Linked DNA regions of Mus musculus. The protein of the gene in region 2 purifies or fractionates together with the protein of the main gene of each other region. This does not show direct contact. Links are inferred from orthologs where the notes say so. Each region holds a gene or a part of one and is shown on either strand. Other genes may lie near its edges.

The links. The genes of interacting proteins can lie anywhere in the genome.
Region 1: the proteins of Cdh5 (region 2) and Ctnnd1 purify together in Homo sapiens (affinity purification with western blotting; 3 studies listed by BioGRID and IntAct, counting the BioPlex papers as one, with this or other methods). This does not show direct contact. The link is inferred for Mus musculus from reciprocal best matches to the Homo sapiens genes CDH5 and CTNND1.

Annotation. Positions count from the first base shown.
Region 1 is NC_000068.7:84,616,015-84,619,862, reverse strand, and holds part of Ctnnd1 (catenin delta-1), read left to right. Parts: intron 1-2,919; coding exon 2,920-3,383; intron 3,384-3,848. UniProt on the Homo sapiens protein: Key regulator of cell-cell adhesion that associates with and regulates the cell adhesion properties of both C-, E- and N-cadherins, being critical for their surface stability.
Region 2 is NC_000074.6:104,100,141-104,104,516, reverse strand, and holds the start of Cdh5 (cadherin-5 preproprotein), read right to left. Parts: upstream 2,893-4,376; 5' UTR 2,785-2,892; intron 1-2,784. UniProt on the Homo sapiens protein: Cadherins are calcium-dependent cell adhesion proteins. They preferentially interact with themselves in a homophilic manner in connecting cells; cadherins may thus contribute to the sorting of heterogeneous cell types.

The DNA of each region.
Region 1 (3,848 bases), on a different chromosome or scaffold from region 2:
CTGTCTGCTCTGAGGGCTCTTCCTCCTAGAGCTGATCTTTGCTGGCTGAAGATGCCATGCTGACTGTTTGGATGCGTAGTTGCCATGGAGGAAGATTTTACAATGGGATTGATTGGTCCTCACTCCCTTTCTTTCTTCCTTCCCTTTCTTTATTCTTGTTATTGTTGAGACAGGGTATCACTATTTAGCTCTGGCTGGTAGACCTTTTTTAAAGGACCCATTTTAGGCTTTGTGTGCTGTTCATTAGTGCCTTTGTCATGTCTCTTGTCGGGATTTCATATTTTTAAAAGGTTATTTTAAAAACTCTTACTTATGGGTGTGCACAAAAAAACATGTTTGGTCTTGGGCTGCAAACATTACTTTAAAATCAGGGTCTATATTTTCCAAGTTAAGAAATAAAGGAAGGCTTATAGTTATCTTGATAGTGAGGGTGCCCTGGCAGCTGTTCTCAGTCTTTGTAAGTAGGTTCATGACCTTCCAAAGCAAAGGTCTTGGCACTTTCCAAATGTATATTAGGTGGTATTGGCTAACCATAAACTGAATTAGTCTGGGACAGGAGTAGAGGCCCTATTATCTAAGCCTGAGTCACTGACACTCTTCAGATGGCGTGGTTAGCAAATTCAACTCCCATGTGACTCACCTTTTATTCCTAAAGGGGCACCAGATCTTAGCTGGTGTAAGCTAGCTAGGGTAGATAGATAGCAGCTATCATTAGAAGAGTCTGCCCAAGGAGTGGGGCTGAAGTCTGCTTGCTCTGACTTCCTCAATAGCCAAGAGAGATTAGACACAGGTGGGTGTGGATGACCAGACTGTTCCCTGCTGTCCTTTGAAGTGCCAGTCACATAGAGCGGGTTTGGGGCTTGGTTCTTGGGTTTATTCCAGGGTGACATTGAGTTTGGAATCCTGCTTGACTAGCAAGATTCTTGACTAGAAGAATTCTGCTTCCTGTTTCGGCCTTCAAGAATAGTGCAAGGTCAAACTTTCATAGCAAGGCAGTGATTAGTGGCAAAAGCACTGAACTTGAAAACCCTGGTTTTAGTTTGCCTCTGCCATTATCTATAGAGCCTTAAGCAAGTTATTGGGTCATTTGTGCAGTTTTGTTATTTGTGAAAGAATCTTGATCTACTGCCTATGAAAGAAGGAAGTATAAAGATAGACTTCCTTGAGTGACTGAAACAAAATCTGGCAGTGGCAATTATTTTTATAGTTGCTTGTCTTAAACAAGAAAAGTAAAATATGCTCAGCATACAGCCTAAAACACCATTCTCTCATGGACAGTTTGGTGTTTCTTGGGGTTTTCTTGAAAACATGTATCCTGTTTTCTCATTAAAAGGAAATATTTTTTCATATAGTGTTTAGCAATCTGCTTTTAAAACAAAACAACTTACTTTATTTTGTTTAAATGACATTTTAAGTTTAAAGGTGCCTTTACTATCAACCCCCTACTTCCCTTGGTTTTTCAAGACCAGGGCTGTCCTGGAGCTTTCTCTGTAGACCAGGCTGGCCTTGAACTCATAGAGATTTGCCCTGCCTTTGTCTCCCAACTACTGAGATTAAAGCCATGTGCCACTACTGCCAAGTCTATTTATTTTTTAATGAAATGATTTGTTCTACTGAGTTTTTTATTGTTTAATGATCAGTGTTGATACCTGTTAGGTAGGCTAATTTTCAATGTTTGGTGACTGTGGGAGTGGTTTTATGGAACAAGCAAGTCTTATTTGGAGAGTCCTACACAATAGAGTCCCCTATCCCAGTGGGAGCCCGGGGGGGGGGGGGGGGGGTTGGGTTGGTGGTGAGTGAGGTGAGCTCATAGATAATAGGGTTCTTCCTTTGTACTTATAAATAACAGTGTGACAGGCTCACCCTCTAGTGGGTATTGATGGTACTGAAACAGGAAGTGTTGCTTCTCATCTGACATCTTTCAGTTTCTTCTTCTGATCCAAGAGCTGGGACATTCCAATATATGTTGGTGTATAGGTGCCATTTGGCAGACATGGAAATGTAGAAGTTGAAGGATGGAACTCTTCTTGGAACATACCTGTCTGACTGAATAGCACGTGAGGCCCTGGGATGAACTGTGACAGCTAGTGTTCAAGTTTATGCCTCAGTAGTACTAAAGCTAACTCCTCAACAATATAGCCAGAAGTCCTCTGTTTTTCTTGATCAGTGCCTCTTCAATTTCCAAAATAGGGCGAGCTTAATAGTTTTGTTCCACTAGCTCTTTCCTGTGTGCGGATTCCTTGTGTGTTCTCTTTGTGATGAACGTTCCACATACTTGTCTTTCTCAATCAGCAAACTTCACAGGTTACTTTTTAAAATTTATTTATTTATTTATTTATTCATTCATTCATTCATTCATTCATTCATTGGTTTTTTGAGACAGGGTTTCTCTGTGTAGCCCTGGCTATCCTGGAACTCACTTTTTAGCCCAGGCTGGCCTCGAACTCAGAAATCCGCCTGCCTCTGCCTCCCAAGTGCTGGGATTAAAGGCGTGCGCCACCACACCCGGCCACAGGTTACTTTTAAGTTATTAAAATTGGACCCAGGGAGAGAGTTCAGTTGGTGAAATGCTTTTTGCACAACATGAGGACCAGGATTTGAGCTCCAGTACCTACATAACAAGCTAAGCTCTGTGGTGGCAGAGATAAGAGGATCCTTGGGTCCTGCAGGACAGTCAGACTAGTTTATCAGCAAGCTTCAGATTTGGGAAGAAACTCTGTCTCAAAAAAAAATAATAATAATAATGTCGAGGGACATTGAGAGTACTTGCACTTGCTCACAAAATTATTAAAAATTGACCATACAGAGGAGACACATGATCTCTGTAGAGCTGTGATCCTACCTTGAAGATGATTGGTAATAGGAATGTCTATGAAGCCAGATTTAACTGCTTGGTTCTTTGTTCTTTCAAAATTGCAGGAGCTATGAAGACATGATTGGTGAAGAGGTGCCGCCTGATCAGTACTATTGGGCTCCTTTAGCTCAGCATGAGCGGGGCAGTTTAGCAAGCTTGGATAGTTTGCGAAAGGGAATGCCCCCACCTTCAAACTGGAGACAGCCTGAGCTGCCAGAGGTGATTGCCATGTTAGGCTTCCGCTTGGATGCTGTTAAGTCCAATGCAGCTGCATACCTGCAGCACTTATGCTACCGCAATGACAAGGTGAAGACTGACGTGCGGAAGCTCAAGGGTATCCCGATATTGGTAGGATTGTTAGACCATCCCAAAAAGGAAGTGCACCTCGGAGCCTGTGGAGCTCTCAAGAATATCTCTTTTGGACGTGACCAAGATAACAAGATCGCCATAAAAAACTGTGATGGTGTTCCTGCTCTGGTCCGATTGCTCCGAAAGGCTCGTGATATGGACCTGACTGAAGTGATTACTGGTGAGTGCCAGGTTAGAGGTCACTGTTAATCTATAGACAGGTATGGATCTAGAACTTTCTAGACTCTTAACTTTTAATTAATTTATTGAATAATTAATTCTTTTTGAGTCAGGGTCTCACTGTGTAGCTCTGGCTGGCCTAGAACTCACTATGTTGAGCAGGTTGGACTTGAACTTGAAGTAATCTACCTGCTTCGGCCTCCCAAATTCTGTGATAAAAAGCATACACTACCATGCCTGGCCAATCCATTATCTTTTGATTATAGGTTCCGAGGTAGTGAGTAGCCTTGGGTCAAATCTGCTTTACAGATTTGATTGGATGACACATGACACACGCAATATTCTCCAACACATTGTGCATACCTGCATGTTTTCTTGTTTTTTTGAGGTAAAGTCTTTCTCTATGTAGGCAAGTTCTAGAACTCACTATGTAGCTTAGGCTGTCTTCTCACAGAGATCCACTTGC
Region 2 (4,376 bases):
TGGGCTTCAGTGGCTGCATCTGTAATAAAGGCAACAAACACTGAATCCCTGGGCAGGAGGACTAGAATATACACAGTGAACCCCAATATACACAGACAGCGCTCCCAGATATGCAGGTGTCTTGACCTCCTCCTCTCTGGTCTGTGCATTCCACCGGCTGCCTCACATCTGACCTAATTTCCTGGTCTTGCCGTAGGCTCATCCTCCCATTTCCTTGTTCTTCTCCAGGGGTAAATATCACTCACCACTATCTGTCCACCCCTGAGCCCCATTTCTCCCTCCTGGCCTGTGCATCTGCCAGGCAGTCAGAATCATCCTCTGACACGCAGAGAGACGGGAGACCAAGGCTGAGTTTATGGGAGCTGTGCGAGTCTTCCCAGAATTCCAGGTTCCCACCCTTCCTTCAAGAAGTTCTCTGTAATTTCTCCTCTCAATGCCAACTTAGAGCAGGGTTATGATGAACTTTTTATATTTCTCCAACAACAGTAGAACCATTCTCTTAGGGCAGTTCCCAGTTTATCCTTATACTGGCTGTGGTGGTCTAAATTGTATATGATTGCCTCTTCTCTAAATTTCAATATAGAGTATGGCTATGGGGTCAGCCCTATCCCTTTCCCACTTTATACTATGTGGCCACATGTCTGGCTAGCCTCTCTGGATTCCAGAGGTCCCATCAGTCACTTGGGAATTATTCATGTCAACTGAGGGGGTGCTAAGGAGGTGATGGAAGCAACCAGAAATGGTCCACTCAGCCAGGGGTTGAGATTTTTGCTAGAACGGTGGCTGGTGTCTCCGAGGTTCCCGTGCAACTGTGACTCATCTAACTTTGGGAGAAAAAAAGTGTGGCCCTTCAGGCTTCCTGCTCTATGTCCGGTTCTTGTTTAGCTGCACAATGGTCGGGCTGAGACTACGGGGTAGGCAGGTTAACCCCTTCAAGGTACTGGGAACTTCTTCTAGCTCCTAATTGTGAAAAGTTAGAATTTGAAGGACTGCCCTGAGGATCAGCTGCCCCTGGCCCCTTGGGGTCACCTGGTACTTTCCAGTCCGCAAATGGCTGGGCTCAGGCCAGATGCAGGAGAGTTTTGTGTCTTTCTTGCCCACTAATTGTTCTGGGCTGTCAAAATCCTCTCTGCGACTCAGCATTCAACCCAGTTCTAAAGAACCCAGAACCCACCAGCCTCCCAGACCCTTCAAGCTTCCAACCTTGAAGTCATCCACTGTCATTAGAGTCTTGCTTGCCTGCCACATTCCTCCAGGGGTAACTAATGAACGCAGATGCCCGGAGGTGCTTGCAGCAGGGGTAGCTAAGTATATGGCCTCTCTTACTCTGGCCCTTCCTTTCACATGGGTGAGACCCCCTAACAGGAGGTGTGAGACTTGTGCTTTGTGGTTTCAAATCTTTGTGGTATTCACAGCCACCTATGGCTATGGGGTAGTGGGTAAATCCACTCAGGATTCCCTGGCTATCTATCTGCCTCTCATTAGGAGTTAAGCCCAGAGCCAAGAGTGTATATCACAAGTAAGGACTGAAGATGTTTCTACAACTTTATGGTCTAGAAGCCAGAGACCCCATGTAGTCACAGGTTCCAGGAAGAGCCCGTGCTGAGGAGGACTAAATCTAAGTTCCCATCGTCATTCTGACTCAATTTTCACACTAACTCTCCTCTGGATCTCTGTTGTTGTCTCTGAGTACAGAGTTACCCTATCTACCTCCTTGGGACTGGATAGTAAATCCAGGAGCCATTGTTTTGTCGGAATATTCTTTCTGCATGAACCATCTCCACCGCTCACCACAGATTGTGAATAGAATTGCATCCAAAAATGTCCTCTCCTAATGAAGGTTTGGAGACCTTAGGTTACCGTCCCAAGGCCACACCGAAGTGAGTAGGCTGGGATCAGTGCCGAGGGTCACTGTCTCTGAGCTGGGCTTTTGGCTCAGAGGTCCTTGTCTCTAGGGCCTTCCAGAGACTTTGCTGAGCTGTACGGCCACAAGAATTCTTGAGCTCTGGGCTCTGAGTATCTGGTGTTGGGGGAGAAACTACAGGCTACCTTCCTGCCTGCAACTGCCGAAACACAAAGCAGGCTCTGAGAGTCTAGGGGAGATGAGGGAAGAGGGCTCATAAATGGGACTCCAAGTGCCCAGAGCTGAACCTCAGAAGGCCCATCTTGAAAGTGGGAGATATTGACAGAGGGAACGAGTACCCCTTTCAGCTCCCCAAATCCCACCCTAGTCCCTCGAGGTGTTGTAGGTAGAGATAACGGGGCAGGGGAATATAAGTCAGACCTTGGGAAATCTATCTCTTTAGCTCTGGACCAGATTGTCCTTTGGGCAGAAGGCAGAGCTAATCCTGGTAGATAGGGAAGGGAATCACAGAGCCGTTATTTGTCCATCCCACACAAAGCAGATCCTACTCAAATCCAAGGTCCAGACTCCAGTCCTCTGCCCTTGTCCTTGCTGAGTGACAGTGGAAATCCTATCCTCTTTGAGCCTGGTAGTCATAGAAGCTCCAGGTCACTGGAGTTTCCCTGAGTACGACAGTCTACTTACAAGGCTGCTGAGTCTTTCTTGAACATTGGTTCTGAGATAACCGTTTGTGTCCTTGCACACTAAGAGATATGCATTTTTTTTAGCCCTACCCTGGCCCCAGCAGAGAGACTCAGGCTCCGGAGAGGCTGTGTTCCCTTGAGAGTCCTACAGTGGCCATCCCATACGGGCAAGCCAGGACTCTCCCAGTTTTATCTCCATGAGACAGGAGTAGAGAGGGATTTGGGAGTCTCACTTACCTTGTCCGTGAGCAGAAGGCTCTCTCCACTGCAGTCTGTCCAGGGCCGAGCTTTGTGGAGAGCACAGTTGATTGCCTCAGGAGGGGAGAGGGGAGCCACACCCAGGCTGGGAGGGAGGCAGGTTTTCCAACTGGCCCTGGCCCACTTCCCCTCGGGATGGTTTCCTGTTATTGTTCCTTTGTGAGCTGCCTGCAGATAGGCAAGCCCTACGGTGGGCGGCCTCAGCTTGGTCAGCCTGGGCCCGTGGAAGCCTTGGACCTGCCTGGGGTATTCAACTCATACCTCAATTCTAGGTCTCATCGGAGGAGCTGTGAGCCTAGGGGTAGCTGTGGGGGCTCTAAGCTTCTGCCAGAGCATTCAGCCATCCCTGGGAGGCAGGTGTCATATCCCCCACTTTACAGTTCAGAAAGCAGAGGCTTAGTGGGTCTAAGGTACTTGTTTCCTCGCTGGACAGAGTAACCCAGACAGAAACCCAGCTACCTCAGCTTCTCCACAGAGCCGGCTTTCCGTGGCGACTCTGTAGTATGGTGGAACGAAAGGGGGCTGTGGAGTTCTCAGAGTCGGGCAGCTGAGAAACGTGACAGACAATCACTTTCAGCAGCAGATTTTGCCTGTCAGATTCTTCCAGGTAGGGCAGTGTGAGTTTCAGTTCCAAGGTACCAGCCTGGCCCATCTCACTTTACAAATACTGGGTGATGGGCTTCACGTGACCATGGACCAACCAGGGATCCATGCCTCAGTCTCCTCATCTGTATAATGGAGATAGCCATAGGTCTGAGTCAGCAAAAAAGTAAGAAGAGCTAAGAAGACAGCAAAGCAGTAGGTAGACCAGGGTCCCTCAGGACCAAGAGGCTGGGGAGATGAGGTCAAGATTCTCTTCATTCAGCCAGGCGTGGTGGCGCACGCCTTTAATCCCAGCACTCGGGAGGCAGAGGCAGGTGGATTTCTGAGTTCGAGGCCAGCCTGGTCTACAGAGTGTGTTCCAGGATAGCCAGGGCTATACAGAGAAACCCTGTCTCGAAAAACCAAAAAAAAAGAAAAAAAAAAAAAAAGAAAAAGATTCTCTTCATTCATTATGTGATGGGTTAGTAAAAATTTCAGGGTTCTGGCTCAGAGTAAATGACAGACCCCCAGAGTGTACCTTTTGGCAAATTGCCTGGGTTTCTTCATGCATAAAAGTTTGGGAAGTCCCCAACTTGTCCTGCTTTTCAGTGAGGCAAAGAGGGACCATAAGAGAGCAGATCTTTCCGGGCATGGAGAAAATACTGTGGGGGTAGGGTGGGGTGTGGTGGGGGGAAGAAAGGGTTTTCTGTTTGGGGTAGGTAATGTTGGAGATGCCCATTAGACACCCAAGTAGAGACATGGGCTTGGTGAACGAAAGCAAAGTTGGTGTAGCCAATCACTCCCTCCAGGTCCTCTGAGAACTGAACTGGAACGGAGGCCCAGGGAAAGGAGTGTACATTAGGATGGAGTATTAGCGTCCTGAGACCATGTGAAGACAGATGAGGACATCAGAGTAAGGAGAGAGGCCAGGGAACTGTCGCTGGGGCTGTTCTCAGCTCTGAGCGGAATCCATAGCATTCAACTACTGC